Diceros bicornis minor: one gene and its partners. The protein of the gene in region 3 purifies or fractionates together with the protein of the main gene of each other region. This does not show direct contact. Links are inferred from orthologs where the notes say so. Each region holds a gene or a part of one and is shown on either strand. Other genes may lie near its edges. The genes, in order: YEATS2, TAF9, KAT2B and TADA2A.

Region 1 (7,086 bases), on a different chromosome or scaffold from region 3:
AGGGACAATCTTCCTCCCCCCCAAAAAAATGGTTAAGGTGGTAAATTTCATGTTATGTGTATTTTGCTACAAGTGAAAAAAAAAGTAGACAGGAGTTAAATGATAAGTATGGTTTTTCCATTATTAACCATGTCCTTCCTGATGGAGCCTATGTAATAAATGCATTTATTTCCAGGGGGTAAAAATACACTCATGCGCTGCATAACGAGGTTTTGGCCAATGATGAACCGCACATACGAACATGGTCCCATAAAATTAGTACCATAGAGCCTAGGTGTATAGTAGGCTATACCATCAAGGTTTTGGTAAGTATACCCTATGATGTTTGCAGAGAGATGAAATCGCCTTATGACACATTTCTCAGAACATATCCCCATTGTTAAGTGACATATGACTGTACACGGGTGGGAAATTCTGCAAGTTTTATGTCAAGCTATATATTTTTAATGATAGAGAACTCTTGACAATCAATTAGAAAATGACAAATACAATTAAAAAGATGCACAGAGGACACGAAAAGAAATTCAAAAATGGCCAATAAATGTGAAAAATGTTCAAACATACTAGTAATCAAGGAATGAAAAATTAAACAAGACACTATTTTTCATCTATCAAATTTAGTTTGAGGGTTGGGCCGGCCGTGTGGCTTAGTGGTTAAGTGCGCCCACTCCGCTACTGGCTGACCGGGTTGGGATCCGGGCATGCACCGACACACCGCTTCTCCGCCATGCTGAGGCCCCGTCCCACATACAGCAACTAGAAGGATGTGCAACTATGACATACAACTATCTACTGGGGCTTTGGGGGAAAAAAAAAGGAGGAGGATTGGCAATAGATGTTAGCTCAGAGCTGGTCCTCCTCAGCAAAAAGAGGAGGATTAGCACGGATGTTACCTTAAGGCTGATCTTCCTCACAAAAAAAAAAAAAAAATTTAGTTTGAGGGCAGATGGAAATAAGGTGTCTTGAAGAAGGGGTACTTTTTTCTAATTTACACTCATTGTCTTCACTTCCTTATGTTCCATTCAATTATTCCAATCTGGTTTCCACCTCCCACTTCTAGAACTCTGAACAGTAATACCAACGACCAAAACCAATAACCTCCACACTGCCAAATCCAACTGAGCATCTCACTAAACATCTCAGAAGCACTAAAGAACCAATTCTCCATCTTCCAGAAACTTAGACTATCTCTCTTGGCTTCCATGACACCAGTCTGCTGCTTTTTCTCCTACCCCACTGGCTGTTTCTTCTGTCCTGTGCTCAATCTTCTTCCTCTACCACACCTCAAAGTACGGGAGTGTCTGAGCCCTGATTTTTCACTTCTCCATCTATACTCTTTTCCTAAGTGATCTCATACAGTCCCATACCTTTGATTATCATCTATATACTGAGTATTTCAAATTTTTATCTCCAGCTCTAGGCTCTCTCTTCCGTGAGTTCCAAACCTGTACATCCAATTGCCTCCTCACCATATCTACTTCATAACTAATATGCACTTCAAATTTAAAACAGAACTCATTCTTTTTCCCACCTCAAATTTCTCTCTTCCATCCTCCACTTGCTCACTACATGCCATCTACTCAGAGTTGCTTAAAACAAATATCAAAAGCAGAGTTCTCCCTTTCCCTCACCAATCCACTTCCAAGTCTTGCTCATTCTACCTCCAAAATATTTTAAAATCTTTCTAGTCTTCTCCATCTCCACTGCCATGGACCTATGCCAGGTATTGCAAACAGCATCCTAACTAATCTCCCAGCTTCCATTCTTGCCCTCTTCCCCCACAGAGCAGTCAAAATTATTCTACTTGCATTCTTAAAACCTTCAAAATATTCCCATAAAATCTAAATTCCTAATCAGGACATCATCTGCTCCTATCTTTCAAAGACTGTACACAACCAAAAACATACACTCAATGATAATATCTCTAGGCAATAAAACTACCAGTACTGTATTTTTACATTTTTCTATGATGAATACTTGCTACTTGCTTATTAAGGAGGAAATGATATTGCTGAATACTATATAATATTACATGTTATGAAATATGAGAAATATGAGAAAACACGTTAATGAGAAAAGAGAGTACAAAACTGTAGGTAAACTCATTGTAACTGTTATAAGCTTAGAGGAAAATATCAGCAAACATACCAAAACTCCAAGAATGATGTGTCAGGGCTGTAGGATTACTGGTGATATTTTCGTCTTCTACGTTCTAGTTTTTAACATAATCACATTCACAATAGAAAAAAAAGGTTATGATATAAACCTCATTGTCTCCTGCAATCTTGCCACAACCCACCAAACCAGCCTTTCTTCCAAGAACTCACTTTCCCAAGCTTTCCACCCCAACCCCGCACTATCTCACACCTTTAACTCGGACACCATCCCTGGAAGATCCTCCTACCTTTCTACAGCCTACTCACCCTTCACCGGGGTGAGGGACGGCAGGGATGGAGACGGAGATTCCAGGATTCTTGTCGGTAAATTCACAACTTGCCAGTGCTGGGGCCAAATCTCGTCTCCAACTGGTGGCACAGGGCACCAAGCTTAACATCCTAAAAGCTCCGGGCACTGGGGCTCAAGGGACCCCATCCCCTCAGAGAGCGCTGCGCCCCTTAGGAAAGGACCCTCACACACACCCAAATTCCGGGTTCCAGCTTCGGAGACTTGCCTGACAGACACAGTCACCGTGGATCCAGCCCCCAGCGCCCGATCCTCTCCTCTCCGCAGTCACCCGCTCCCTCCCTCCCCTCGGCAGGGGGCCCGCGCGCCGGCGGGTGGGGGAGGGGCGCGCACGTGCCCGCGCCGCCCCCGCCCAGACAATGCTCCGGAGAGCGGCGCGCGCGCCCGGCCGGTCCGATCCCGCTCCCGCCAACACTCACCCTTTTCCCGGTCTCCGGCTGAAGCACAGGCCCCGCCGGGGGCCGCGAAAGGGCCCGGGCGAGGAGAGAGAGCGGACGAAGCCCCGCAGAGCCGCCCCGCCACGAGGCCCCAGCGACCCCGGAGCCCGCGGAAGCACACGGCTCGGCGGAGACCGCTCGGCCCGTTCGCCGCGCACGTCAGCAGCAGGGGCGGGGCGGGGTGCGCGCGGCGGCGGCGGCGCGCGCGCGCGGCCCCGGGGCGGAGCTCGCAGGGATGTGGGCGGGGCCGGGGCACAGGCTGGTGCTGGGGCCTGGGCCCGCGCGGGGGTTGGCGGTTGGCCCGGGCCCAGACTCTGACCCTGGCCGGCGCTGCTGCGCTGCCTGGGGAGTACGGGCGTCGGTGCTGGGAAAGGCAGCGTCATTTATCAGTTTCCTCTTTAGAAGAAGATGGCGAGGTCCAGTCCGAAGTTTCAGAGAATATTCATTCTGCCGGCCTTTATGAAGCTTCGCCAGTAATAACAACAGTGGCTATGATTTTTGTGTGTGTCATCTCGTAGCAAGTTTTGTGCTAGGTGCTAGGAATACAAATAACAATAGCTATTTCTAACCTGTTCTACAGATGCAGAAACTGAGGCTCGGAAAGATTGAGACTTATCTAGGTCGCACAGCTAGTGAGTGACAATCCACCAAGTCCAGTTTTCGTCCTAAATATCTCTTGAGCTCACTCTTCGCTTTTCTTCTCCCTGTACCACCCTACCCCAGACCCTGGTCACCTCTCTGTCCAAGACCGCCGTAGCCTCCCAACTGGTCTCCAGTGATCTGTTTCTGTCCGCCTTCAATCTCTTCTCCTCACTATGTAAAGGTTTACCACTGGAACTGGGTCGTAGGTTTAGAGGGGATTCACTTCGTAATTTTTTGTACTTTACATATATGTTACCAATTTTTGGATGTATTTAATGTTTAATAAAAATGTTTTAAAAGATTTACTTCTTTATCTCCAATAGCAAGCCTAGTACATTTCACATAGTATGCACTCTGAAAATATTTGTTGAATGAATGGCTAATAGGGCCAGGAACTGACTCCAGAGCCCTTCATGGGAAAGAAATAGAGGGATTTATAATATGTCACGCTTGGTCTCCTGACCTTAAGGTCTATTAGAGGTAAAGATAGATTAACAATATTTATTAATCTAATTTTTATTGCATTTCTATTCTGTGTTCTGGCACTGTGTGCCAAGCTCTGTGTTAGGCACTGAGGATCAGAAATGAACAAAACAGTTCCTGCCTTTGTGAAATTTGCAGTCAATTTTATCGGAAAGGCCTCCCTGAGCTTAAGCTAAGACCCAAAGAGAGAACAGGAATTGGGGAGATAAAAATAAATTTCATGGAGAAAGAGGTAGGGTAAGAGGTTATCATGAGTGTGTCAGTGTTCCCCTACTTTTGGGGTCTAACCCTGAGGCAGAGGCATAGAAGTACCCAGCTAAGTGGAGGGGGAGGGAGAAGCCCACTTCCCATGGCCCAGCTTGGAAGGCTGCCGGATTCTGGCAAGAAGTCTCACATTGAGCAGGGCTCAGGAACAGACAGTGGCATTGGGGAGGGAGGGGGTCTGAGATGATGCTGCTGGGTGTCCACAACTTGCAGATGGCGTGCCAGAATCTCAGACTTCTCTGTATGCTCCCTGCCAGGCAAGCAGAAAGTAGAATGGTTGAGAGCCATGGACGGGGCAGTGAGCACTGTGCCAGAGGCCTGGTAATCCTAAACAGAGGCAATGATGGACTGATTGGCAGGGAATGGCTGGAGAATGTGGCTCAGACCTCAAGGATGGGCAGAGCCAAAGACCCCAGCAAGAACTGAAATGCTCCCAAGTCAGCTGGGGAGAGGAGCAGGGATAGAGGATTGGGGAGTGGGAAGGTGAGACGTCAGACTCTCAAGGTGCTGAAGCAACAGATCATGAGCTTGCCAGCCAACAACCTCAGCAGCTGATGCCAGCAGGGCTGAGGTGACCAGGAGTGACCAGGAAGCACAGGCCAGTGAGGACCCAGGCTACAGCTCTGCACACAGATCTGAGACCCTTCTGGCCACCACCTCAAAGCTTCCGTTGCATCCCACAGGCCATCTTGGGAACTCAAGAGGAGGAAGGGGAAAGTTCTGACAGGACTGCAACCTTGAATTGATTGAATGTTTACTCAAAATGAGACTATTAAGACCAGATAACTTTCGGGCTGGCCCCGTGGCTTAGCGGTTAAGTGCACGCCCTCCGCTACTGGCGGCCCGGGTTCAGATCCCGGGTGCGCACTGACGCACCGCTTCTCCGGCCATGCTGAGGCCGCGTCCCACATACAGCAACTAGAAGGATGTGCAACTATGACATACAACTATCTACTGGGGCTTTGGAGGAAAAATAAATAAAAAAAAAAATTAAAAAAAAAAAAAAAGACCAGATAACTTTCATTGGCAGGTTTAAGTTTAGCCCATTCCCCAATAGGAATGAGAGTCCATGAAAAAGTTTGCAACATTTAAAGAGAAATAACATAGCTACAGATGTTTGTACGTATGCATGCAGTGTGTACATTTCAATAACAGATAAGATCTAGGAAGGAAATGGACAGGGTGCTGAGAAAGCACAGCATAGCGGGACCAGATCTAATGTGGAGGGAGAAAAGGCCTCCCCGAAAAAATAGTAAGTGGAACCTGAAGGCAGTAGGAGCTGCTGGGGCACGATTAAGTCTGAGACAAAGTGAGAGAAACCCAGGGTCACTGAAGCAAGAGCAGAGTGGTTAGGGTGGGGCTGAGAGTGAGGCAGGAGGAAGATCACGCAGGGCGGTGGGTTAAGATTTTGATCTTTACCGTGTGAAAACAACAGGAAGTCATCAAAGGTTTTTAAGCGGAGGAGTAAGGTATTCAATTTGCCCTTTAAAAAAGACCACTTACCCAGCAAATGGGTGGGGAATGCCTGGAAGGGTGTGTGAACAAAGCAGCAGCCAGACAGTTGGAAAGCAATTTGAGTGGCCCAGGTGAAAAATGAGGGTAGCTTACACTAGACAGTGGAGATGGAGGGAAGTGGAAAGATTCAAGAATTGTGGAGAAAATACTGAGAGACTTGGTAATGAACTGGGAGGGGACGGACGAGGAAGGGGAAGGGGACTGGCCCCTGCTAGGTCTAATGGCATGTGAGAAAAAGCTGCCCCAGCCTTTAAGGGGACAGTGCCCTGTGCTGGGGCACAGCTGGTGGTTGGATTTCAGGCCCCTCCCTGGCAAGGCCTAGTCAAGCAGCAATCACCCGCACAACCACTGGAGGTGGGCCTGGAAGGAGAAGATGAGGAAGGAGAAGAACTGAGGGTCACTCCCAGGTTCCTGGCTTTGGCAAATGGTGGGTGGTGGTGCCATTTACCGAGAGGAGGGAGACTGAAGGAAGAACAGATTTTGTATGTTGCGGGGTAGGTGAATCAAGAATTCCCCTGGGGACATTTTAAGTTTGAGGCATCCACCTGAAGAGACTCAACAGGCATCTGTACATGTGGTTCCGAGACTCAGAGGAGAACTGATGGGTGGTGCCGTCAGTTGCCGCCAATACTGTTGTCAACAGGTAGTTGGTGAGAGCTGGTGAGATTGCAGTGGAAGATAGTACAGTTCAGAGGGGTTGCACAGTCACAGCCTACAATGTCACACTGCTTTAAACAAGCCAACACTCCAAATATTGAGAAATTTCACATACTAACCTGGATTTCTCCTTCTCTGAAAAATCAGAAGCTGTGGTAACCTGGACCTACATTCCTATAATTAGTTATTAGCTAACACTATGTACCAGGCAGTGTTCCAAGCACTTCACAAATTTAATCTAAGTAACAACTTTATTATTATTATTCATACTTTAAGGGAGAGAAAACTGAAGCACAGAAAGGTTGAATAACGTGTTGGACAGCTGAGAAGTGGAGCTGGATTGCAGACTCAAGCAGTCCTGCACTGAGTCTGAGAGCTCAGCTGCTGCACCACGGATGCATCTGGAAAGCTGCAATCCCATTTAGAGGAGCCCTAGTGCCTTCAGGAGGGCTGAAGTAGGTCCCACTACCCCCTGTTGTCTTCCTGACTCCTCCATCCTACTCTGAGCATCAGTTGCCATTTATGGTTTTACTCACACTGCTGTTTTCTCGTATTAGAGAACGATTTCTCTATACCCATGCCTCTACCAAGTAGAAAATTAAAAATATTAAATCGAGACATCTAA
Region 2 (6,661 bases), on a different chromosome or scaffold from region 3:
ACTATAATTTAAATGCCAGAGCCAAATTAAAAACATGAGCATGCTACTGACTTATATAGTATCAAGAATATGACAACAAAGATGCACAAAACTGACCTGCAAAAAGGGATACTGGAAAACATTTAAAAATTTTTTAAAGTGGGGAGATCCTGGGAGGAACACCAAGGGTCCTTAAATATAACCAAAGGGATAGAAAACTTGGACCTGGGAAGCAGGTGGGCAATTGAGGAAGATAAACCCAAACAGATGAGGATTCACTCTGAATAGAAATCCTGACCAAGTGGCCGACCCAAAAGGAGACATGGTTAAGACGTAAACTGGTGCAGTCTGAGAGAATGGACCAGTAGAGTGCCTCACACACCAGACTGCACTATGACCTACACAGCTGGTGACATTAGTGGTAATGAATAGACGGGAACAACCTCAAGTCACTGCAACTGTTACTCCTGTTCTAATAATGAGGGGAAAAGTGCTTCTAAACATATAATTGTCAAAGTACCAACAATCAAACTGATGAATGACAACTTTATTTTTTACACTTAACGGCTGATGAAAAACCATTACTAGTCCTATTAAAAAGAATCCAACATCTCAATTGAAAAGTACGGTAACTATATTTACTCATTAAATAGTACTGAAGTTTTCTAACACATCAGCATGCATGCTTAATCTCAGTACAATGGATTCAAGAGCAAGTATACACATTACAAGCGTCAAGGCTACATTACAAATTATCATAGTCATCATCATCGTCATCGTCATCATCATCTTCACGCTTTCTTTTCGATGCATTTGATGCTTCATTGGCAGTATTTTGTGATGACACCATATTAGTAGTAATAAGAATGTTTTTGGACCCAATTAATGATGGATTAATCAGAACATTCTGAACTGCTGATGTTGCAGGAATGGATGCTTTTACAGCTGGGGACTGTGAGGTGGGCATCTGCACTGTAAACCTCTGCCCTGTGAGGGACACTGGAGTCCCTACCTTGGTTGAAACAGACATGGTTTGCGGGGTTGGTGTGCCAAGTGTGGGAGTACTTGGTCTGCTAGTAACTGAACCAACACTTAACCTCGGAACTGTTATTCTCCCCGCAGAAGTAGATGCCTTTTTTTGTAAAGACTTAAGTCTATAGTTTGGAGCAGTCAAGCAATATCTATCAGGTGGCAACCTAGGCCCTGAATATGGCTTGATCAATGGCAAAGGGGTTTGATTTCTTTGCCTTGCAATATCTAACAAAAAATCTCTTGGAGGAGGAGAGGTAAAAGACTGGTCAGCACGACACTGGATTGCCAATCGCACATCATCAGCATCAACAGTAGCTTTCTTAGCGTGGCTTGAATAAATTTTCGCATCATCTAGAATTGTGGTCACATAGCGGAAGGCAAACTCCAACATCTGATTTATAACTCTTGGCTCATACTCTGTAATGCCCATATCCTTCAGGATTTGTGCCATCATCTGTGCATCTTTCGGCATGCTCTTGGGAGAAGCCATCTTGCCAGACTCCATGCTATCCGGTGATCAGACTTCAGATCATTTGAAAGAAATATGTACATTAGATCAAATCTGAAATTATTACTTTAGTAGCAACTGTCAGGAACTTAAAAATTTTAAATATATGTTAAATTTTTAAAAATGCATTTAAATTTTTTATATGTATATTAAGTCTTGTTAATTTCAATGAGGTACATAAAGTTCCCTTCACTTAAATTTACTAAGTTTCTACCCTGTAAAAATCATTATAGACTATAAAAATATGAAGACACACATAAGGGAGTGACAAAACACCAGAGTAAAACGGGATAAAATAAGTAAAAACAAGTCTCACTTCAGAATACGTGCAGTTGTGTGCAGGCATGCAACTATCAAACTAATCTAAGAAAACGTCACAGGACATTCGTGTCCTAGTGCCTGAGTTCAAAATAACCAGTCCTTCCAGTGAGACCAGTATCCTCACTGTCTCCACAGATATGCTGAGCACCACCCAAATCTTTGCGTTCACCCATCTTAAAACATTCTTCCTCTTCCTCACGCTCAGGTTCTATGTATCTATCCTAAGTCCAGTCTCTTCACGGGAGCCTTCCCAATCATTACTGTCCACAAGAACTGCTAGCCAACTGTGGGGGAGAGGGGGCGGGGCGGGTAGCAATGTAATGGTCAAAATAACTAGGACACAGCATTTAGACACTTAACATTTTCTATGTCTATGGGTCCCCAACAGAGCATAAATTCCTTCACAGCAATCTTTCTCTGCTTTTTGTCCCCTCTCACAAGTATAGTACTAATACTCCACTCTATTTTTTTTTAAACAAATCTAACGAGTGTCCCTTACCTTCTCGAGCTAAATCACCCACATTAATGTATTTCAGGCCCGATCTTGAGGCAAGTTCTTTGCCTAGCGTGGTTTTTCCAACCCCTGGAGTACCTGAAAGACAAGCGACAGAGAAATACTGTTTATGAAATACTTATCAGACTGTAGCCACCCATCTGCCCTTCTTAAGGTTCCTAACAACTGAAATGAAAAGTTTCCTAATTAGCAATCCTCTGTGAATTCATATACACTATGACCTAATCAAAACTACCCAAAGCATGCTGAATGTCAGAATCTCGCCCAGTGTGTCTATGACGAGTGGGGCTTGGATGATTCTGATGCCAATTCAGACTGCCTGCCACCACCATGGAAATTCCCAGAGTAAGACTAGCCATCTCAGATAAATTATCATTTATTTCAATTTTTTTAAAAATTAAGAAATTGTTTATGGAAAAATTGCTTTTGACAATACGGCTTAATATCAAAAAAACAAGGACACTGCCTGCCCAAACAATTCAGATGTTGTAAAATCTTCCCCTTAAAAAATTTTAAAGGCTAAACGTCGATTTGTTGAGAGGCTGATCTGCAGCTCTCAGAAACAGACGGGACTTGTGCACTGCCGACAAGCTCATGTTTTGCTAAATTATAAAACTTTATTGCTTTGTTTCCACAAAGAGCGTCTCAATTTTCCTATGTGTTGCCATAGCACCTACACCTATTCGATTTGTCCTTGATGGATCAGATGGATTAGAAAAACCCATCAGCTTTTCCTATGACGCTATTAGCTCCTACAACGTAAAAAACTTTTCCCAAGTCAAACGACCGGCAATGACATTTTCTCAAGTCGTCAGGCGGCATTTTAGTGCCCCTCACGTATAACAGGCGCCTGAGCGCGGATCCAAAGACCCCGACGGGCCCCCGCGGTCAGCCCGGGAGCTTCACAGCATCTCTACACGGCAAGCGACCACACGCGCTCAGGAGACGCCCCTTCTTCTCGAAAGAAAAGGGAAAACAGCTTCGGCCTCTAACAACACACGCACACAGCAAATTAATCACCCTCCGCCACGAACGTGCGAACCCTTCTCCCCTCACCCGACTCGCAGCACCGAGAAGACAGACGGCCGGGAAGGCCTCGGGCCTCCGCCCACACACCGCCGGGGGCAGACGCCGCCCGCGCTCTCTCGCTGAAGCCCCACAGACCGCCCCGCCGCCGAAGCAACAGCAGCCGCTCACGAACAGGAGCGGATCCGGAGCCCCGCGGCTCTCTGCGCGGCGGACAGGCACTGTCCACCCGCCTCCGCTCCGCGGCCGGCCTCGGCCCACCGGACCGACGCGCCGGCCCTCCCCCGCCCCCGCCGCGAGCCCGCCACGAGGCCCGACAACGGCCCCGCCGCACGAAGGCCCCGAGCCCGCCCGAGGCTCCGAGCCCGCGGCCCGCGCTCTCCAAGCCCCCCTTCCGCCCCTACGGCCGCGCGCCCTGACCCGTGAGCAGGATGTTGGGAAGCAACATAGTCCCCGCGAGGCGACTCGAGGCGCCTCGGCCCACGCGCCTGCGCACGACAGGAGGAGCCGGAAGGGCGCGCTGCGGCGAGTGCCTGTGACCAAGGGGTCCTCAAGGTCCCGCGCGGCGGTCGCCGCCTGTCCCCGCCCCCTAGTCGCCAACCATTGGTTCCGTGGCCTTCTCTGACATGCCTCCATCGCAGGGTCCGAGGCAGGGACAGAGGTCGAGTCCGCGCTGTGGGTCAGGCAGGGCGCTGAACGCCTAAGTCACTCGCGCCGTTGGCGGCCCCCGCCCTTTGGGCTGCGTCGCGGAAGCGCCGACCGGTCTGGAAGGTCCCCGGGAGGCGGGTCCTCCGAGAGCCTCGGCGCTGATCCCGGGGAGGGTCCTGTGGCTGCCCCTCCGCCTGGAGCAGGGCCTGGGCTCTTCCGCTCCCCTGCGCCCGCGGGGGGATGCAGCTCCCGGCAAGTAAGACTGCCCGGCTGCGGCTGTGGTGTTGTGTGTCCAAAGGCGCGAGTCCGCTTCTCGGGCTCTCGTCGCTCCTCCCCCCGACCTGCCCATCCCATTTGGGGGTGAGACGGGTGGGGGTGCAGAGCGCTGGCCTGGAGCCGGGCCCGCGGGCTCGTCGCCGCGCTCCGCTGATTAGCAGCTTTACGTTGGATGAGTGTCTGAGCTTAATATGCCCTGTGCAGTGTGTGTGTGTGGGGGGGGGGGGTCTGCTAGAAGTATTCTTGAGGTCTCTCCTACCTCTGACGTCTCATTTCAGGAACCTGGCATCATCAGCGACAGTTATTTGCTTTTGGGAGGAGGGAACTGTCAGTCTTGTTTTCAAAGAGCGGCTGGAGTCCTGACCGTAAGAACGGTCTGCGTCTTTTATTTCGACCTGCCAACTGTATTCCTCAAATAGGTGTTTTTTCCACCTTTGTACCTCTTTGGAACTCCAGAGCAAAAGCTCTCTAATCGTGCACGATTTGTGTGTGTGCGACTTGTTTTCTACTGTGTGGAAGTATTTACACATTGTAAACTGTGTGCCTCCAAACTATAAAAAAGTTTAGTACACCTTCTAATTTATAAGTTTGTAGACCTTAAAAAACTTTCTTTCTGGCTAACTTAAAATTGGTGAATTCACTAGTTTGTCTAAACATTGAAGAATTATGAAAGTCGGGAAACACAATATTACCAAAAAAATTCCTAATAATGCTCAAATAAGAAAAACATATGTTGTAGAAAAAACCTACAGTAAGACTTAAAGTAAGTGATAAGACTGAATTCATTGTATAGTGGGGTTTTTTTGAAATTTTGGAAATGAAAAACTGCAAATAATTTGAAATGAAGGAAATTTTGATTTTCGGTATAAAAACTGCACAAATAGAGTTGTCTAATTTTTCTTAATGACAAAAGGGAGGTACACAAATAATATGGTTTTTCTGTTTTCTCCAATACGTTATTGAGTTCATATGAAAAACTTTACATTTATAACACCACAAATAGATTGACACAGTTACAGTCATTAAAAGTAAAATTTACTTTGGCATTTTGATTTCTTGCTTTGCCTGTGTTTGCTATGTTCTCTTTCATTAGTTCTTGAGCCTTAACTTTATTATGCTGTTGATTATATCAGTGTATATTATTTGCCGTACTGCTGTTTTACAGTTTTTCTTAATTTAAGATTTTTTTCCTTTCTTTTTTTCCCTAGGTGAGTTATACTTTAATGTACTACAGGTTGTATACTACGGATGGGAACTATCAAAGTTTATAATGTCAAAAACTTTTCTTAGACCAAAGGTATCTTCCACAAAGGTATGACACACTAAAATGGCCATGTAATAATTGCCCAAAAAGAATTATAATTTTTGTATATGTTCTTAATGACTTATTACTGCTATCACAGCAATGGTGCCCAGTATCTGTTGTGATTATTGACCTAAAAAAATCTAACAAGAAGTTGTGAAACAAGTGTACAGTAAAAGCGCAACGTTAGTTTTGAAAAAGCGTTTACGATCCCAGTCACAAAGAAAAGGCTAAAAGCTCTTGAATGAAAGAGCAGTGGAAGAAAGAGAAATATAAATTCAGTTGTAGTTGGTATTAAAGCTTAATAACAGGCTCTGCCTCTCAGAACTCATGTGGTTCAGTGTGCCAGTTTCTCAGCAAGGCTGGGGGTGGAGTGGGTTGTGGGTGAGACAGTGTCATACTCATGTGCAAGGTAGCTATTTTCTTAGTGGTGGATCCAATTTTTCTCTGATCTTAAGTAAATTATTTAACTTTGCTGTTTCTCTTTTTTTTTTTAGTCAGTGGGAGTCCACATTTATATAAGAAAACTATAAAATGTATAAGTAACATGCAGATCAGACCTTTTGTTATCAAAAGGTTTACTGTTATGTACTCTTAAAAATAGAGGAAAGGGCCCAAAATTGTAGCATAGTGACAGTCTTTTGAGAGAGGAAATGAATTAGGTGGCTATGCCTAAAATTTTCTCCCAAAGGTTTTCATTTTTTTTACCCACTGCTGATAATATTCCTAACCCTCTCCTTAAAAGAGGAATGAAGTGTGACTTTGCATTCATAAAATACTTATAAGCCCCAGCTTGCTTCTCCTGAGCCTTCTTTCAGCTCCAATTTCTGGTTCTTTTTCTCCCAGAAAGGAGCATTATCTAATAAATGACTCACAGCTATGGCTGAGTATTCTTCAAGGAAAATATAATCTTGGTTCCCACTTGTTAGCCAGGCAGGGAATTTCAAAAGCCAGGTACTAAGCTAGATTTTTCTAGATTTATTCTGTTGTAAAGTTAAGAAAACACATCTTAAAAATTCTAATTTTTAAGAAGCCTTTTTAAAACTCCTAGATA
Region 3 (7,470 bases):
GCAATGCTCTGCCAATCACATTTAGGCCCATTCATATTAAATATGGGAAATTGTTATTTAAGAACAGCTAAAAATAAAAATGAATAAAATAGCAATAAGTGTATATGAGGCATGGTTAAGACTCACATCAGAAATGACGATTTAATCGGGTAAATGCTTGAAAACTAGAGATTTTATGTCTCCCCACCTTAGGATTCATTTTATAAATTTTTTTCAGTACTTTTTCTTTAGAAGTATAGATTTTGTTTTAGAGATCATTAAAATAAATGTCCAGTACTCACAGCCACTTTCTCCAGTGGGAAGTCGGCCCAAGGAGCTCCACACTGAGACGTCTACCTGACGTGTCTTTATTTTACACTCATGTCAAGCCGCTGTCTCTAAAAGCAGGTGGCTGTGCCAGGAAGGATGTTAGCCACTGGCCACACAGTGGGGCAAACCTGCTCTGATACTGCCTGGTCCAGACTTAGCCCTTGGTGTCTGAGCCCTCAGTGGGGACAATTTCAATCCACCTGTGGGGTTCAGGTGCATTACAGAAGCTGTGTGGGCTTGGAAGGAAGGAAGATGGCAAAAAGGTAGTAGACGTTGGAGTAACAATAGATGGTCACAAAACTTGCCTTTCTTAGGTGGGACGGCATCTTTGAGCAAGGGATACTAGATGAATAGGGGCCAGCCATGCCTTCTGGGGGAGGGTGTCAGGCAATACAGCACATGCAAAGCTCCTGAGGCAGGCAAGAGCTTCCCGAGTTTGGCTGGAGTGTACCTCACACCAGGGAGAAGGGCCAGGGGAGGTGAGCCTTGCCAAACAGGTTAGGGAATTGAGACTGTAATTTAAATGTTAGGAGAGGCCATTGGAGGGTTTCAAGGGGAATTGTGGGATCAGGTTTGCATTTACAGTTGTAAAACTCTGTACTGTGAAGAGGGGATTGTGGTACAGCAAGAGTAAAAGCAGAGAGACCAGAAGGAAGTTGTTGTTGGCACTCTGGCCGAGAGGTGACAGCCATGGAGACAGATATGAACAGATCGAAGATAAAGTTTACAGGTAGAAATGACTACTAGTATTTATTGAGAGCTTTTTTTGAGTGAGGAACTGGGAATACATAAATGAGAAAAATAAGTTTCATTCTCAAGGGTGCCCAGTGAAAAGAAACTACATTAATGAGTTTACTGTGTATCTTTCTAAATCTTCCTCTTGGTTTTGCACTTTTGTATGCACTCATTGAACATATACAGAATTGTGCTTATATGTCAATGTGAGTTTGTTTTTAACATAAATGGTATTATACTGTACAAGGTTCCTTCAACAGTATTTCTTGGAGATCTGTCTAGGCTATTACATTTGTATAAAAGTTATTCTTTGTAACAGCTGCGTAACACTCTATAGGATTAATATACCAGAAGCAACCTCCAGTGGTCAACCCGCCCCCTGCAACTCCTACTCTCCAAGCCCTTTATTTTCTAATTGTGGCTTCCTTACCTCAGTAAGTCATGCCAACCTAAATAAAGAGGTAAACTGAGGCAAGCTTGAACCACCAGAAATTGAGTTTATTTGGTAATAGCTGAGGAACTGCAATTCTGAAAACGCATGCTGTAGCAAGCTACAGGCGAGTCCATTAAAGGTTTTGGGTGGGCTGGATTTCTGGGCAAGGAGTGCAAAGAGAGGGAAGTCCAGCCAGCAGTAAGTTCATTGGCTTGAGGCTAGGGAGAGATTCTTGGCTGATGTTCATTGGTCAGGAGGTAAGTCTTATCTTCTGTAATTCAGGCATTTATGGGAAATCAGTCTCTCAGTTCTTAACTTCTGTTCTTCTGAGGGTGAGTCTCCATTTCATATCCTCCAGTTCCATTTTAGATGGAAATCCTTTCACAGTTGTAAATACTTTGTAAACTAAAACATTGCCTTTTATTTTCTTGGTACCCACTTTGTAAAAGGGCTCTGCACACAGGAGCTTACTAAATAAATATTCACAACAGCCTGACTATGAAGAGGCAACAAGCCTCCTGAATCCTTTGCCCTTGAAATGTCCCTGCCTGGTGCTCATAACGCTTTGAATAGGTCGTGAAAATGTGGGCCTTCCGCCTAAGGCAGTATGTCATCTGGGTGTTCAGAGCAGGAAAATAATGAAAAATAATGTTCAGTTGATGTCACAAGCCATTCACCATTCAGACAGTGATGGTTTTCAAGGTGGATTGAAATGAGGTTGTTTTCTTCTGCTTCAAAAGATCCTGGAAATAGCCTGCCTCCTGAATTCTGGGGACAGCTTGGGAGGGGGAGGTGATGGCTGAATTAATATTAAAGCTGGATTTCCCTCCTCAACATTTTATTATGGAAAATTTCAAACATACAGAAAAGTTGAAAGAACTGCACAGTGAACACTCCTATACCCACTACCTAGATTCAACTATTAACATTTTGCTCTACTTGCTTTATTATATATCTGTTCATCTGCCTATTGGCCCATTCACAGATGCATCAATCTATCTTATTTCTGCATCTCAAAGCAGGCTGCAGATATCAGGACTCTGCACCCCTACACTTTCAGCATGAGAACCATTAACTAGAATTAATATTTATCTTTTCTTTTTTTTTTTTACTATTTGAGGGAAATTTATATCCAGTGAAATGCTCAAATGCACATATTTGCTAACATCATGATGTTAGATTTTGAACAGGGCATCACAGCCTTTAAGAAGCCCATCCTGCTTCGGTGAGAACCGCAAAAAAAAAATCTGCAAAACACCTCAGAAGAGCCAGCAGGCAAGTAAGTGTCCTGATGGAGCCTGATGAGTCTGCCATTTCAGACCTTCACACCGCGCGGAAGTTGGAAGAGGCTATTGCCTTCTGTGCAGTCTAATGTCACTATTTAGATCTACAAACTTTTTTTATTTATCATTTTAACATATCACTCTGCATTAAAAGTCAAAAGAACATAGAGAATCTAGAAAAAGGATAGAACAAATTAACTGACAATAACGGGATGGGAAGGGGAATGTTTCCAGGGAAAGCACATTCCTTAAGGCGTCTCTGGTTGGAGCTGGGCGAGAGTTACACGGCATGCAAAGAATTTGATAATACGCACATTATGACCCATATTACATAAAAATTATGACTCATATTACAAAAGCAGGGCACTTGTGAAGGGTCCTGAAAAATAACGCTGGGCTTTTGCAAACTGCTTTAGAAAGGCCAACCAAGGGTGCACAACTTTCAAATGAAAAACTGAAATATGCACTCCACAATACTAAACACCACCCTCATTGTCATTAACAATGAAAACGACAGTTTTCAACAGTTTCAACAATAGATGAAAATGCTGAGTTGAGTTTTTTGTGTGTGTTTTTTTTAAGTTTGAGGCCAAAATCAACACTCATTCTTTTGGATGCTGCTTAAATTTTTTTCACGGTTAATATGCATGCTGGTGATATCAATTTTGAAAACTATGGAACATTATAGAAAAGAAAAAGGCAAGGTTAGAATCCCACCATGAAGAGATGAACCGTATTAACCAACTTTTTGTATTCAAACTTTTCCCACTGCGCATAGTTTTCATTCTGACAGCGCTTTCAGACAACCGTTCCTTTAACAGCCAGCACTTTCAAACAAAATTTACAGAAAATATTGATTCACAGTCTTTTCCTTCCGCTGGCAGATTAGATCCAGAAATTGCTATAGGAAGAAAAGCATTCTTAAAAAAAGTTGGACAGAAAAGCGTTTAAAAAAAAATAGGAAACATGACGCTTTTATTTTGGTGAATTAGCAACAAAGAAAAGGATTAGCATGGACGGGTACTTTTCAAAAATATTTTTTTTCCTCTGGCTCCCGCTAGGGTGGAGGAAGTTGTCTCTGTTCCGAGAGAGGGTGGAATAGAGGCGAAGAACAAATAACTGGGAGTCTCCCGCGCCCCACCGCCCCCGCCCCCGGGGGGGGGGCTCGGCAGGGCGGGGGTCGGCCGGGGGGGCTGCGGAGACGGAGGCGGCCAGCAGGTGCCTGGGCTCCGGCCCCCTACCCCCACCCTCATCCCCCCTCGCCCTCACCCCGAGCGTGGCCTCGCCCCCTGGCGGGCGAGCGCCGGGCGCCGAGGCGCGGGGGTGGGGGGCGCAGAGCCCGCGGGCCGCGGGCCAGAGGCCGGGGCGCCCCCGGTGCGCAGCCCCGAGGAACATGTCGGCGGCCAGGGCGCAGCGCGGAGCCCCGGGGAGCACTGGGGGAGGGCGTGTGCAGTGGCGGCGGCGGCCGCGGAGCCGCTAGTCCCCTCCCTCCTGGGGGAGCAGCTGCCGCCGCCGCCACCGCCGTCAGCGCGCGGGCCGCGGCCGGAGCGCGCGGCGAGCGGCGCGCGGGGCGGGCGGGGGCGGGGAGGGGGGTGGGCGCAGGGGGCGGGAGGGCGTGGGGGAGGGTCTCGCTCTCCCGGCGACCGGAGCCCGAGCGGGAGACCCTGGCGGCGGCGGCGCCTGACACTCGGCGCCTGCTGCCGCGCTCCGGGGCGGCATGTCCGAGGCTGGCGGGGCCGGGCCGGCCGGCGGCGGGGCGGGGGCCGGGCTCGGGGCGCTGCCCGCACAGCCCCCCGCGCCGCCGCCCGCGCCCCCGCAGGGCTCCCCGTGCGCCGCCGCCGCCGCCGGGGGCTCGGGCGCCTGCGGACCGGCGACGGCGGTGGCGGCGGCGGGCACGGCCGAAGGACCGGGAGGCGGCGGCTCGGCCCGGATCGCCGTGAAGAAGGCGCAACTGCGCTCCGCTCCGCGGGCCAAGAAACTGGAGAAACTCGGAGTGTACTCCGCCTGCAAGGTACGGGCTCGCCGCGCCGGACCGCCGCGGGGGGCTGGGGCCCGGCGGCGAGCCCCCTGCCCCCTCCCCCTCCCGCCCCCGCCTCCTGCCTCCCGCCCGGGGCCGCTGCACCGCGGAAGTGCTGCTGTCGCCCGCACCCAATTAGCTGCTTCTCGGACAAGAGTCCTGTTGGGTTGGAAGAAGGGGAATCACCAAGACCGAGAACCTTTCATTGCTCCCCTCGGAAGGAGTTGCCTCTGCGTCCGCGCTCCTGGGTTGCCCTGGGGCTTTGTTGCTCTGTAGGAGCCCGCCAGAGGCGCCTCCCAGGGAGCGGAGCAGTGCTCAGTGTGTGGCGAGCGCCCCGGGGCCAAGGAAACATCTTTTTGGGGATCTTCGCCCGTCCTCTCCCCGTGCCCCATTGGAAGGAGCTAGGTGGGAGGAGTGAGGGTGGAATAGGCTCCCGGACTCCCGGCGCTTTGGGAGATCGAAGGGGCGGAACGCGCAGGGTGGGAAGAGGGGCACAGCCCGACGCGAGGGTCCTGGAGCTCCGGGCGCTCTCGGCTGAGGGCAGAGGCGCTGCGGCGCGCGGTGACAGCCTCGTCATTATTGTATTATTACTTGTTTAGTTAAAAGGCTGTCCCAGCTGCTCCGGGTGTAAACAGGATTTGGCAAGATGACAGCCCAGCACGGCGGGCGCGACTGCTTAGTTTGAGGACGCACGTTTCTTGCCATCCCCTCTCCGTCCCAGCCCTCGGCACCCCGTAGCCCCTCAGCTGCAGATCCAGATGTGGGCGCCGTGCTCCCGGGGTGGGAGGATTGCCCGAGGCCGCGGGGCAGGCTGGCCCTGCGCTGTCAGCAGCGGCTTTGTTTTGACAGGGTGACAGCTGAGGGGGGCGGGGACTTGGCCTTGTCAGCTCCCGAGGCCTGTGGCTGAGGCGGGGAAGAGACACAGGCACACACCTCCCACGTATTCCTCCCGCCTACTGCAAACACGGTCAAGTTCCCGGGTTTCAGATTCACACAACTCAGCGGCAGTGGCCGCTTCTGAATTTTGGACTAGAGATTATTAATCCTGCTAGAACCCGGTTCCCGGTGATGCTGTTTTTAGTATTTACAGGAGCTTCTCAACCGCAAGGAATGTCTGTGCTTAACCCCTTTTTCAGCACCGTTCACATCCTCATGTGTATGTTGAATGCCCACTGTGTACCCCACACTGGTTCAATAAATATTTGTTGAATGAATGTAGGATCCAGCCCATTGCTTCTCAGACTTTAATGTGCGTAGGAGTCACTGGGGGATCTGGTGAAAATGCTGACCCTAAATCAGTAGGTCTGGGGTGGGGCTGAGATTCTGCATTTCTAACAAACTCTTGATGATGTGGCGCTGGTCCACTGACCCCACTGCAAGTAGCAAGACCCTAGTCCAGAACCAGACAATATATTAGTCCCTTTTAAATTCAGCAAAGAAAACTGAAACTGTGAGGCAATAATGCCACACGGCTGGTGTTTCTGAAGAAGACAAGCAAAAAAGATAAAGTGGAGAGTGTGCTTCTAAGAAAGGTGAAAAGCCAGGAGTTGGTTCTGAAGGGCGTTAGACTGGTGAGACAAGACTTTGAGTGTGGTAGGCAGAAGGGAGAACTGCTCAGAATCAAGACCAAGGTCAGTTACGTGGTGGGCTTGGCCTTGGGCAGCCAGAGTGGGCTCCTGGAGGAACTGTGTCAGCTCTGTGTGTGTCCCAGCTGTTAGTTGGGTTCCCATCGTGAGCACCTTCTCTCCCTGCTGCCTGCTGTTGAAAACTTCATAGCTGAAAACTTGCCTGAAGTTTTAGTCCTATCTAAACCCACGAGCCTATGTGCCCTACAATGATATTTTTGATCCTTTTATATTTCCATGAGTGAGATGTAGCACCTTTTCTAAAGTTTGGGACTTGAGGGTTTCATGTTCACATTCGCTACCAAGCTTGTAGGTAAACTTATAGGGAAAAATCTCTCTTAGTAAAGGCCTTGCTTCCTGCTCCTGGGAGACTCTGAGAGTGCCTATTTTTATTTGCTCATTCATTCAGCAAGTATTTAGAGGAGTCCCAACTAGGTGCCAGGCGTTGTGCTGGATGCTGGGGCTAAGACACCCAGAATCTGTCCATCTGGAGCTACCGACCATGCGTGTGTACATGTGCACACATGCGTGTATTGCAGGCCTGGGAAGGTGGGCAGTGAACCAATTCCAGTGACGTTCAAAAAAACTGCTTTGTTAGAGTGGCGTTAGAACTCAAAGCAGGGCAGTTCATGGGCTGCAGCACGGAGGGGTGGGGATGGCTTCCTGGAGGAAGTGTCAGTGGGTACTAAGGACTCTTGGCAGCGCAGGGCTGGGTGAGGTGAAGCTTCTTGTAGTGGGGAAACTGAAAGTTATGAAAGCTTGGAGCTGGGCCAGCAGGAGCGAGCGCTCCATTGGCTGGGCCACAAGGTTGGGGCGGTGTGTGTCCAAGAGGGCATTGGAGAATCCAGGAGTCTTAACCTGGGGAGTAACATTATCTCAGATTTCCTTTTTTTTTTTTTTTTTAACTGTGCTTGATTGGGGTGAGGGGGTATGAGAAAGCAGAATCTGTGGTTCTTTCTCAACTGGTCTCTACCCTTCGTATAAGAAAGACCAAAAGGACAGATTCTTCTACCTTCTGTCCCTAACCGGCCCTTGGCAAGTTGGAGAGAGTAGAGGTTAGGGAATGAG
Region 4 (8,004 bases), on a different chromosome or scaffold from region 3:
ACCCAAGTTCCATCTAAAAAGGCAGGGTGGCACTTCCTTTATTCTACCACTGACTCTTTCCTATCAAGGCATCTGAAATATGTTATTGGTTCTAATGAGAAATCCAACTGTTTTTTTAAGTCTAACTGCAGGTTAATCATACTATGCCTGGTCCATCTGAGCTTAGTTTTCTTATAAGACCTAGGGTGATATGTTTGTGTCATGTGTTCAGCGGGCAATCAATAAGTATCGGTTGATTTTATTTTGATTTGATACTTTTAATCCTTTAGGATCAGATTCACAGAGCTTGAACTTCAAAGTGCTTATTTTTCTTCTCTGATCAGCTTCCATTTCAGTTTGCTATTAATATTCACCTGGGACTTGTTCCCACAGTACTTACTGCTAAAGGAACCCAAACGGTCCATGCCCTAATTGGCAAAAACTGCTGCTTTGATCTTCCTCAATGCAGCGCTCCTTCAAGGAAATTTCAGAAATGGCCAACACATACACCAAAGCTTGATGACCCCTATGAACAAACAAAAGTGGCACATGGATCAGGAAATAATTCAAAGGGACAAGATAAAGAGAAGATAAGGCAACATACTCAATTCTACCACATCCTAGCTTTATAATGCTAAGCAAATCATTCTATAGATAAAGCCCGTTTCCTCCTCTGTAAAATGGGTATGATATAATAGCATCTACCTCCTGGAGTTGTTGTGACAATTAAATATCAAAATCCACATAAATAATATACCATAGTGCCTGGCCCATAGTAAGCCCTCTATAAAGGCTACGTACCTCCAATAAACAACTATTGGTATTCTCTGCCCAGCATCACTTCTCCGCTTAGCCCTCTTTCCTTTGAGAAACTGACTTTCCCACATTTCATATGGTTCTGGCGGGGTTGCCAATCATAATACTCCATCCCCTGCCCCCAGAGCAGCTAAAGCAACCAGATCTCTTCTTACAGAAATCTGAATCCTGAGTAAGACATATAAGGACAGAAGGCAGTTGAAGCTCAGTCATTCACTAGTCAAAGAATTTGGTCCATGAGTTCTGGCTGTTCAGATCCTCATCTCCAAGGGTGGCTCAACTGTTTAGTTTTTTCCCCTCATTTCTCTTTCCAATAATACTTCAACATGAATGAGTTTCTGTTACTAGAAACCAAGGAATTCTATCTGTTATGACATACACTTGTTCACTAATTTACTCTCTGAACAAAATTTAATAGGTATGTACAATGTACAATGATCTTTTTTTTGTTGTTTTGTGAGGAAGATCAGCCCTGAGCTAACATCTGCCAATCCTCCTCTTTTTTTGCTGAGGAAGACTGGCCCTGGACTAACATTCACGCCCATCTTCCTCTACTTTATATGGGACGCCACCGCAGCATGGCTCAACAAGCGGTGCGTTGGTGCGTGCCCGGGATCCGGCCCGCAAACCCCGGGCCGCTGCAGCAGAGCACGCACACTTAACCGCTTGCGCCACCGGGCCGGCCCCTACAAAGATCTTCTTGAAGGCAGAAATGAAATCATATTTCACACTAAGCCAAGAAAACATCCTTCCTTCTTCTAAACTCCCATAGCTTTTCATCTATCTCTTTTCTGGCATTTTTCACATTCTACTTTCTGAGGATTATTTCTGAATGCTGAAATTCTGAATTTCCCCCATTTTTAGACTAAATGAAAGCAGGGACTACATCCAGTACAAATTTGTATGCCTTAAAGTACCAAGCACAGAGGAAGAACTCAATAAACACAAATGTGATGGGCAAATGTTAGTCCTATAAAAGTTTAATTCATCTTTAGTTCTCCTGGAGTGACTTCTTTCATCTGATATTTTTAGCTTGGGGAATAATTCATCACTAAGCGTACGCAACACTCAAATAACATGGCTGTCAATGAACTGGTCTTTTTTGGGGGTAGGCTGGAGTGGGATGGTTCTCCCTCTGCTCTAGTCCCAGGAAAAGTTAGTCTTTGAAGAAAAATGAGTTTAGCACGGGGTATTATGCGCTCAGTATAATAAAATAATGGCCAACATTTATTGAACTTTTCTCACATGCCACATACTGTGGTACCACTCTATGTGGATTCTCTCTTTGAATCCTCACAACCTTCTGAGGCATGCTGCTTTTTCAAAGAAGGAAAGGATGCTCTGAAAGAATGATACTTGCACAACGTCTTACAGGTAGGGAACAGCAGTGCTGTTTCAACAGGTTAATAGAAATTTCAAGTAAAGGATGTAGACACAGTCTGGTAAACACTCCATGTCATAAGCACAATATTGCAACGAGCAGAACCTTCTGTTTTCCTCTCATTTCTTCTCCTGAGCCATTTCTGACACTAACATCCATGAAAGAACGGGTGCTAGCTCCAAATTAACATTTGCCACATTCAAAGAAGTTAGTGGGAGGAGGAAGGAAGGTACTGTGAAGAACAGCACTCAGTGTGGTGCAAAGGACAGGTGTAGGCTTTGGAGTTTTGCAGACAAGGTTCAAATCCTCACTGCGTTCCTTATTAGCTGTATATTCTCGGCCAAGCCATTTTACCTGAGCCTCAGACAGCCTCAGCTCTGAAACGGAGCTGAAATATTTACTTTGGAAGGCCTACTTGAAAACTCAATGGGAAACATGGGTCAGGGGCAGGACACACCGTGGCAGTTACCAGCGCAGCTACGCGCCCCATTGCACAGACAGGAATACCGAGGCTGGGCTCCTGCGGGGCCGCCCAGAGGGCGGGACGCGACAGGCTCGCCGCGGGGCGGGGCCCAAGAGGTCATGCGGAGTCCCGCACCGCCCTCCCCCACAGCCGGCGTGGCTGGCGCCTGCCGCCTCCACACCCCCCGCGTCTCTCCGGCCACCGGAACCCGCAGCGCCCCTCCCGCGCCGCACCTCGCGGTCCCCGCCTCCCCCTCGTCCCCCTAAAGGGGCTCGCACCCGCCACCGCCCGCCCTACAGTGCCTCGTGCCTCACCTCGCCGCGTCCCCCTCCTCCGCGCCGTGGAGCCGCCAGCCGCGCGCGCCCCTGGGGCTGCGTGCTCGCTCCCGAGCGGCGCAGGCGCGAGCGCGCCGCGTGCCGCGCGCCTGCCGCCGCCCCCTCAGCCCCTGTCCGGGCCCTCGCCGCGTGCCCGTCGCTGTCCTCCCGCAGAGGCCTGGGAGGATGGGGCTGAGCAGCTGGCCTAACCCTTGAGTCCGACCAGTTATCAGTTTTCCCGTGAGGCGCGTTGCCGGTCGCCAGACGTTTGCCGGTGCGTGGTGCCGTTTGATCCCCTCCAGAGGGCGGTGAGGTGGAGCGGGCCGGTACTGTCCTGCTTTTGTGTTTTTAACATTCCCACCCCCCACCCCTGTTGCAGCAAAGGAAATTGAGGCTGAGGGACTGGGCCCAAGGACGGCGAGCAGTGGCCGCCTCTCCAGTCCAGGTCTTGCAGTGCTGCCCATGGATTAACCAGACTGACTGAATGGTTTAAGGGTAAACAGGGTACGTTTTATTCAGATGCTCCTGGAACGTCGCAATTACCTCCTTTGGAAAGAACCATCCCCTCTTTGGGCTTCAGAGGCCCAGATTGAGGCGCAATGATGAGAGGATGTGGTGGGCCACTCTGATGTCAATCTTGAGGGCTAGGTATGTCCCAACATCTCTTATTACTACTACTAATTATTATAATAGCTACCATTTGTCGAGTATTTATTGCATGCCTGGCATTGTTCAAAGGAGGTTGTATACATGGTCTCATTTAATCTTCAAAAACAACCTTATGAGGTAGACACTATTATTATCCCCATTTTCCAAGTGAAGATATTTAGACTCTGGCTTTTAAATAATTTGGGATCATACTGCCAGAAAGTGTTGAGGAAGGTGATTCAAACTGTGGTTTATCTTAACCATTATGCTGTTACATCTGTTTAGAATTCTGTCTTGCATAAATTTGCCCAATGTCTTTTAGAATTCATTTACACATTCTGCCTGTGTGGCCTCTTTATTCATTTTTTAGTATATGAGTAATACAAGTTCATTCTAAAGAAAAAATCAGAAAATTCACATGAGCAAAAATAATGTGAAAACCAGCTCCCACCATGTTAAATAAACAGTTAACATTTTGGTATACACTCTTCCAGAAATTTTCCTATGCATCATGTCAATAAATACGGAGTAGTTTTACATTTGATATATCCTGAAAATCTGTTTATTCATTCATTCAACAAATATTTAATGAGCAGACATTGTTCTAGGTGCTGGGAATTCAGCAGTAAACAAAACAAAGTCTCTGCCTCATATAACAGTGGGGGAGATTGACAATAAAGCAATACACATAATATATTACTAAATAAGAGATAATGCCCAGTAATCTGGCAGGTTTTATGGAAAAAAATAAATCAGGATAAAGGGGTAAGAGTGATGTGGGGTGCTCTTTTAGATGGAGTGGACAAGGAAGGCCCCTTAATGGCACATAAGCAGAAATCTAATCATTAAATGAGAGAGGCAGCTACGTGGATTTCTAGAGGAAAACTATTCTAGAAGAGAAACAGCAATTGCAATGGCCCTGGGATAGAGACTTGCTTGACATGTTGGAGAAGTAGCAAGGAGACCAGTGTGGCTAGAGCACAGCAAATTAGAGAAATAAGTTGGGAAACAGGCAGAAGCCAGATCATGTATCGTCTGGTAAGCCATGGGTGGACTTTGGATTTTATTGGGATGTGATAGACTACCATGGAAGGGTGGAGAGGAAAGGCGTAATCAGATTTGTTTTAAAAGGATCATTCTGGCAGCTGTGTAGAGAATAAATGGTAGAAACATTAAAATTGCCCTTTAAAGCATAAATTGTCCTTTTACACAGCAGTTCAACAGATTGTTTATTAACATTGGTGTTTCACGTACATCTTTACAACCACTCTCACCTCCACAAAGAAGAAATAGGGTCAAACACTTAGGATATCTTCATGTCTTTCTCATCTAAACTGAAAATTTTCAAGCCTGACTAGGGCATATATCCAGATCTGGACGTCACGATTGTCAGCAAACTGAATATGAGTCATCAGTGTTGTACTATTGTGGAAAAAACAACCTCACATAATACTGGAATCTATTCATTAAAAATGTAGCCTTTAAGCACCTGGAAATTACCCTTCCTCTTCAATTGATGTTAGGCCCTCAGAATTCTAGGCCCCAATTTAGTCATTGTGCTTAAGAAAGATGTGGGAAATTAAAATGTGGAGTGAGAAGAAGGATAACCCAGTGCTTTTCTGGGTTTTCACCTTAACAATGTAGTAGATAGTGGCATTAATTATAAGACCAGTTAAAGGGAAAGTGAAGGACCAGCTGAAGGAAGAACAGTTTTGGAGGAGAAATTAAAAGTTCTGTTTTGGATCTGTGTTTTGCAGCCCAAGTGGAAATGGCATATGGGAGTTGAGAGCTCAGAGGAGAGGCCAGGGCTAAAGTTGTATAACTGTATTAGAATTGTTTCTTTGGATGTGTGTCTTCTTTAGACAAAGCTTGAGGACAGACACTGTCTTTTCTTCTTTGTAACCTCAGTGCCCAGAAGTTCATCCTGGACGAATATTTGTGAAACGAACAAGTAAAGGCAAAGGTATGGATGAAGTCACTCAGGCAAAATGTATAAGGTAAAAAGAGAAGATATCCGATCTATGCTTTCACTGGAGGTTTAAGCACCTGAACGTGACTTACAAGTCAGGTGACCATAAGTCCCAGTTTGCTCAGGACAGTTCTGTTTTACTCCTGTTGTCTCCATATAATTAGTAATATTGTCTTATTTCACTCTCAGAAGTGTCTCAGTTTGTACAATAAGTTGCATGGTCGCTCTTTGTAGAAGGCCCTTCAGGGTCTAGCATCTCCCTGTTTCTTCATCATCACTGCCCTGTCTTACACTTCATTCTCCAGCCAGACGGAAGTATCTCTGTTTCCACTTATACACTCTGTTATTTCCAAGCTTCCTTTGCCACTGTACCTCCCCTTCAGCTTAGACATCACTTCCTCGGGAACATTGCTCCTGACCCTCCCAAGTCTGGGTTAAGTAGCCCTATTACATGCTTCCGGTGCACCCTGTGTTTAACCTGTCATAACAGAGATGACTGAGTGCCTTGTTGCTCCCCTCACTAACCATGTCTGTGAAGGAACCTGAAAAAACACCTTTTGTCCTCTTTAAGACAGAAATTTACATTAATAATATCCAAGATCAGTCCAGGTTGGACAAATATTTTTGAAGACTGACTTTCAGGACAGACTAATGGCGCATCCTCCAAGCCCTTCCATTCTTAACTAACTGAGAAGGTTGACTTTTGAACTGAAAACCCAACAAGGAAAACTGTATCCTACTGTCAGGCTCTGTAACGTGGCTGCCGTTGACTGAGTCCAAAATATCCCAACAGTTCCTCTTCAACTACTAAGCTGCTGTGGTTAGAATCAGAAGTGCGGTTTCTGAGCCTCCTCCCTATTGAAATGATTCTCTGCCATTTCTAGTTACTTACCATGTCTTGAATGCTGAAAGACTTTATAAACTTTATCTCATCTAATATTTATTTTTCCTGTTAACTGAGGTGGCACTTTGTAGTTTGGTGTACAAATAGATAAAAACAGAAAGTCTGAAAGTCCAGCTATGCCTTCTAGGTTTCAGCTTCCTTCCCTTTAAATTCTGAGATATACCCAGTCAATGTAAATTAGCCAGAGATTTAGGTCCTGGAGCAGGGCCCTTTGCCATTTACAGGGGCTTTTCAAGGCAAGGAGTTTTCCTGTGACCCACTCAGTAGAGACGGCTTCACTCCCCAAAAGGCCTGAGCCTCAAGGGTTTGAGCTCTTAGCTCTCAGCTCTTTGAGTTCACACACTAAGGCACTTTCACAGAAGCCCTGGCTCCCCCACAGCCAGCTGAGGATTGGTTCGTTTCCTCAGCCTCTGCTAATGCCTCTTGCATTCAGGAGCATTGCCCTCCTCCTTCCTTCCCCGCTTACTGTACCCCACCCCATCTTTCTCCCTTTGTGGCCACCCTAGTCAAAGAAGTTAGAGAATCAATCCTTTTCCTTCCGAATGTTCTTAGACTGCTTATTTAATTTAATCCACCCCACCTATGACCAGTCTGCAGAGGAAGAGTTGAAGCACTTCTGCTAATCTACTTGAAGAAATGTAAGGTCTACATATAGCCATTTCTCCACACGGTGGCCTGTCTAGGGTGCTTCTATGTAAGAAGGCCCTAAAGATCTCAAAGGTGAACAGAAGGGAAAAACAATTTCTGCTAAAGGGCCCTACTGCATCCCACTTTACAGATGAGGAAAAACGAGGCTCAGAGAGGTAAAACCACTTGCCCCAAGTCATTCAGTTACTAAGTAGCACAGCCATAATTAAACCAAGATCTGTCCAAATGTAACTAGTAAACTGCCACTGACTATTTAAAACTGAAGAGTTAGCAGGTGTCAGGATTTTCATAATGCCATGGCCATTAAACAGAGTTTTCATGACTCCAGGCCTCTGCTACCCATCTCTTCTGCCCCTTCCTCACCTCACTGACTTCTTTTTGATCTACACAAAATGCAAGATATCTATCTAATGAGTCACCAGTCTTTGGGTAGAATCCAAAAAATTAGGTGAACTAGGAATGTTATTGTTGCTGAGTGACTTGTGTTTGTCAGAAAAATTTTAAATGCCTGCTAGGCAGCCCAGCTGCATACTTGTCAGCCTGATATACAGGGCCTCCACCTTTTGAGTCTCAAAACAGGCTCCTAAAATACATTACATCATTTGATGACAGGCAGTCTGTACTCTTTTGCAACCAACAAGTGCCTAATAAATGTTTGAAATATGATTTTTAAGGAAGCTGGCACAGTTTAATGTAATTGAAAAAGCATGGACTTTGAAGTTTTCTTGAATTTGAATTCTGTCTCCACTCATTACTACCTTCAAGAATTTAGGCAAGTTATCACTTTTCTGTGCCTCTTTTCTCTTCATATGTAAAATTAAAATAATAATATCTAATTCATAAGAGTTTTGTAAGGATGTGATGATATATGTATAGTACCTA

Evidence for each region.
Region 1: the proteins of KAT2B (region 3) and YEATS2 purify together in Homo sapiens (affinity purification with mass spectrometry; 3 studies listed by BioGRID, with this or other methods). This does not show direct contact. The link is inferred for Diceros bicornis minor from reciprocal best matches to the Homo sapiens genes KAT2B and YEATS2.
Region 2: the proteins of KAT2B (region 3) and TAF9 purify together in Homo sapiens (affinity purification with mass spectrometry; 3 studies listed by BioGRID and IntAct, with this or other methods). This does not show direct contact. The link is inferred for Diceros bicornis minor from reciprocal best matches to the Homo sapiens genes KAT2B and TAF9.
Region 4: the proteins of KAT2B (region 3) and TADA2A purify together in Homo sapiens (affinity purification with mass spectrometry; 6 studies listed by BioGRID and IntAct, with this or other methods). This does not show direct contact. The link is inferred for Diceros bicornis minor from reciprocal best matches to the Homo sapiens genes KAT2B and TADA2A.

What each region holds. Positions count from the first base shown.
Region 1 is NC_080754.1:39,887,840-39,894,925, forward strand, and holds the start of YEATS2 (YEATS domain-containing protein 2), read right to left. Parts: upstream 3,014-7,086; 5' UTR 2,883-3,013; intron 2,710-2,882; exon of another isoform or gene 2,640-2,709; intron 2,526-2,639; 5' UTR 2,424-2,525; exon of another isoform or gene 2,405-2,423; intron 2,213-2,404; exon of another isoform or gene 2,149-2,212; intron 1-2,148. UniProt on the Homo sapiens protein: Chromatin reader component of the ATAC complex, a complex with histone acetyltransferase activity on histones H3 and H4. YEATS2 specifically recognizes and binds histone H3 crotonylated at 'Lys-27' (H3K27cr).
Region 2 is NC_080740.1:1,274,021-1,280,681, forward strand, and holds TAF9 (transcription initiation factor TFIID subunit 9), read right to left. Parts: upstream 2,340-6,661; intron 1,534-2,339; 5' UTR 1,517-1,533; coding exon 725-1,516; 3' UTR 512-724; downstream 1-511. Other genes in the region: AK6 (adenylate kinase isoenzyme 6), read right to left, coding at 2,340-2,432, 3,801-3,828; cell cycle checkpoint protein RAD17, read left to right, coding at 4,269-4,284, 5,513-5,616. UniProt on the Homo sapiens protein: The TFIID basal transcription factor complex plays a major role in the initiation of RNA polymerase II (Pol II)-dependent transcription.
Region 3 is NC_080741.1:25,827,764-25,835,233, forward strand, and holds the start of KAT2B (histone acetyltransferase KAT2B), read left to right. Parts: upstream 1-4,466; 5' UTR 4,467-4,477; coding exon 4,478-4,771; intron 4,772-7,470. UniProt on the Homo sapiens protein: Functions as a histone acetyltransferase (HAT) to promote transcriptional activation. Has significant histone acetyltransferase activity with core histones (H3 and H4), and also with nucleosome core particles.
Region 4 is NC_080757.1:25,286,701-25,294,704, forward strand, and holds the start of TADA2A (transcriptional adapter 2-alpha), read right to left. Parts: upstream 3,001-8,004; 5' UTR 2,954-3,000; intron 618-2,953; exon of another isoform or gene 506-617; 5' UTR 405-505; coding exon 380-404; intron 1-379. Other genes in the region: ACACA (acetyl-CoA carboxylase 1), read left to right, coding at 5,567-5,598. UniProt on the Homo sapiens protein: Component of the ATAC complex, a complex with histone acetyltransferase activity on histones H3 and H4. Required for the function of some acidic activation domains, which activate transcription from a distant site. Binds double-stranded DNA.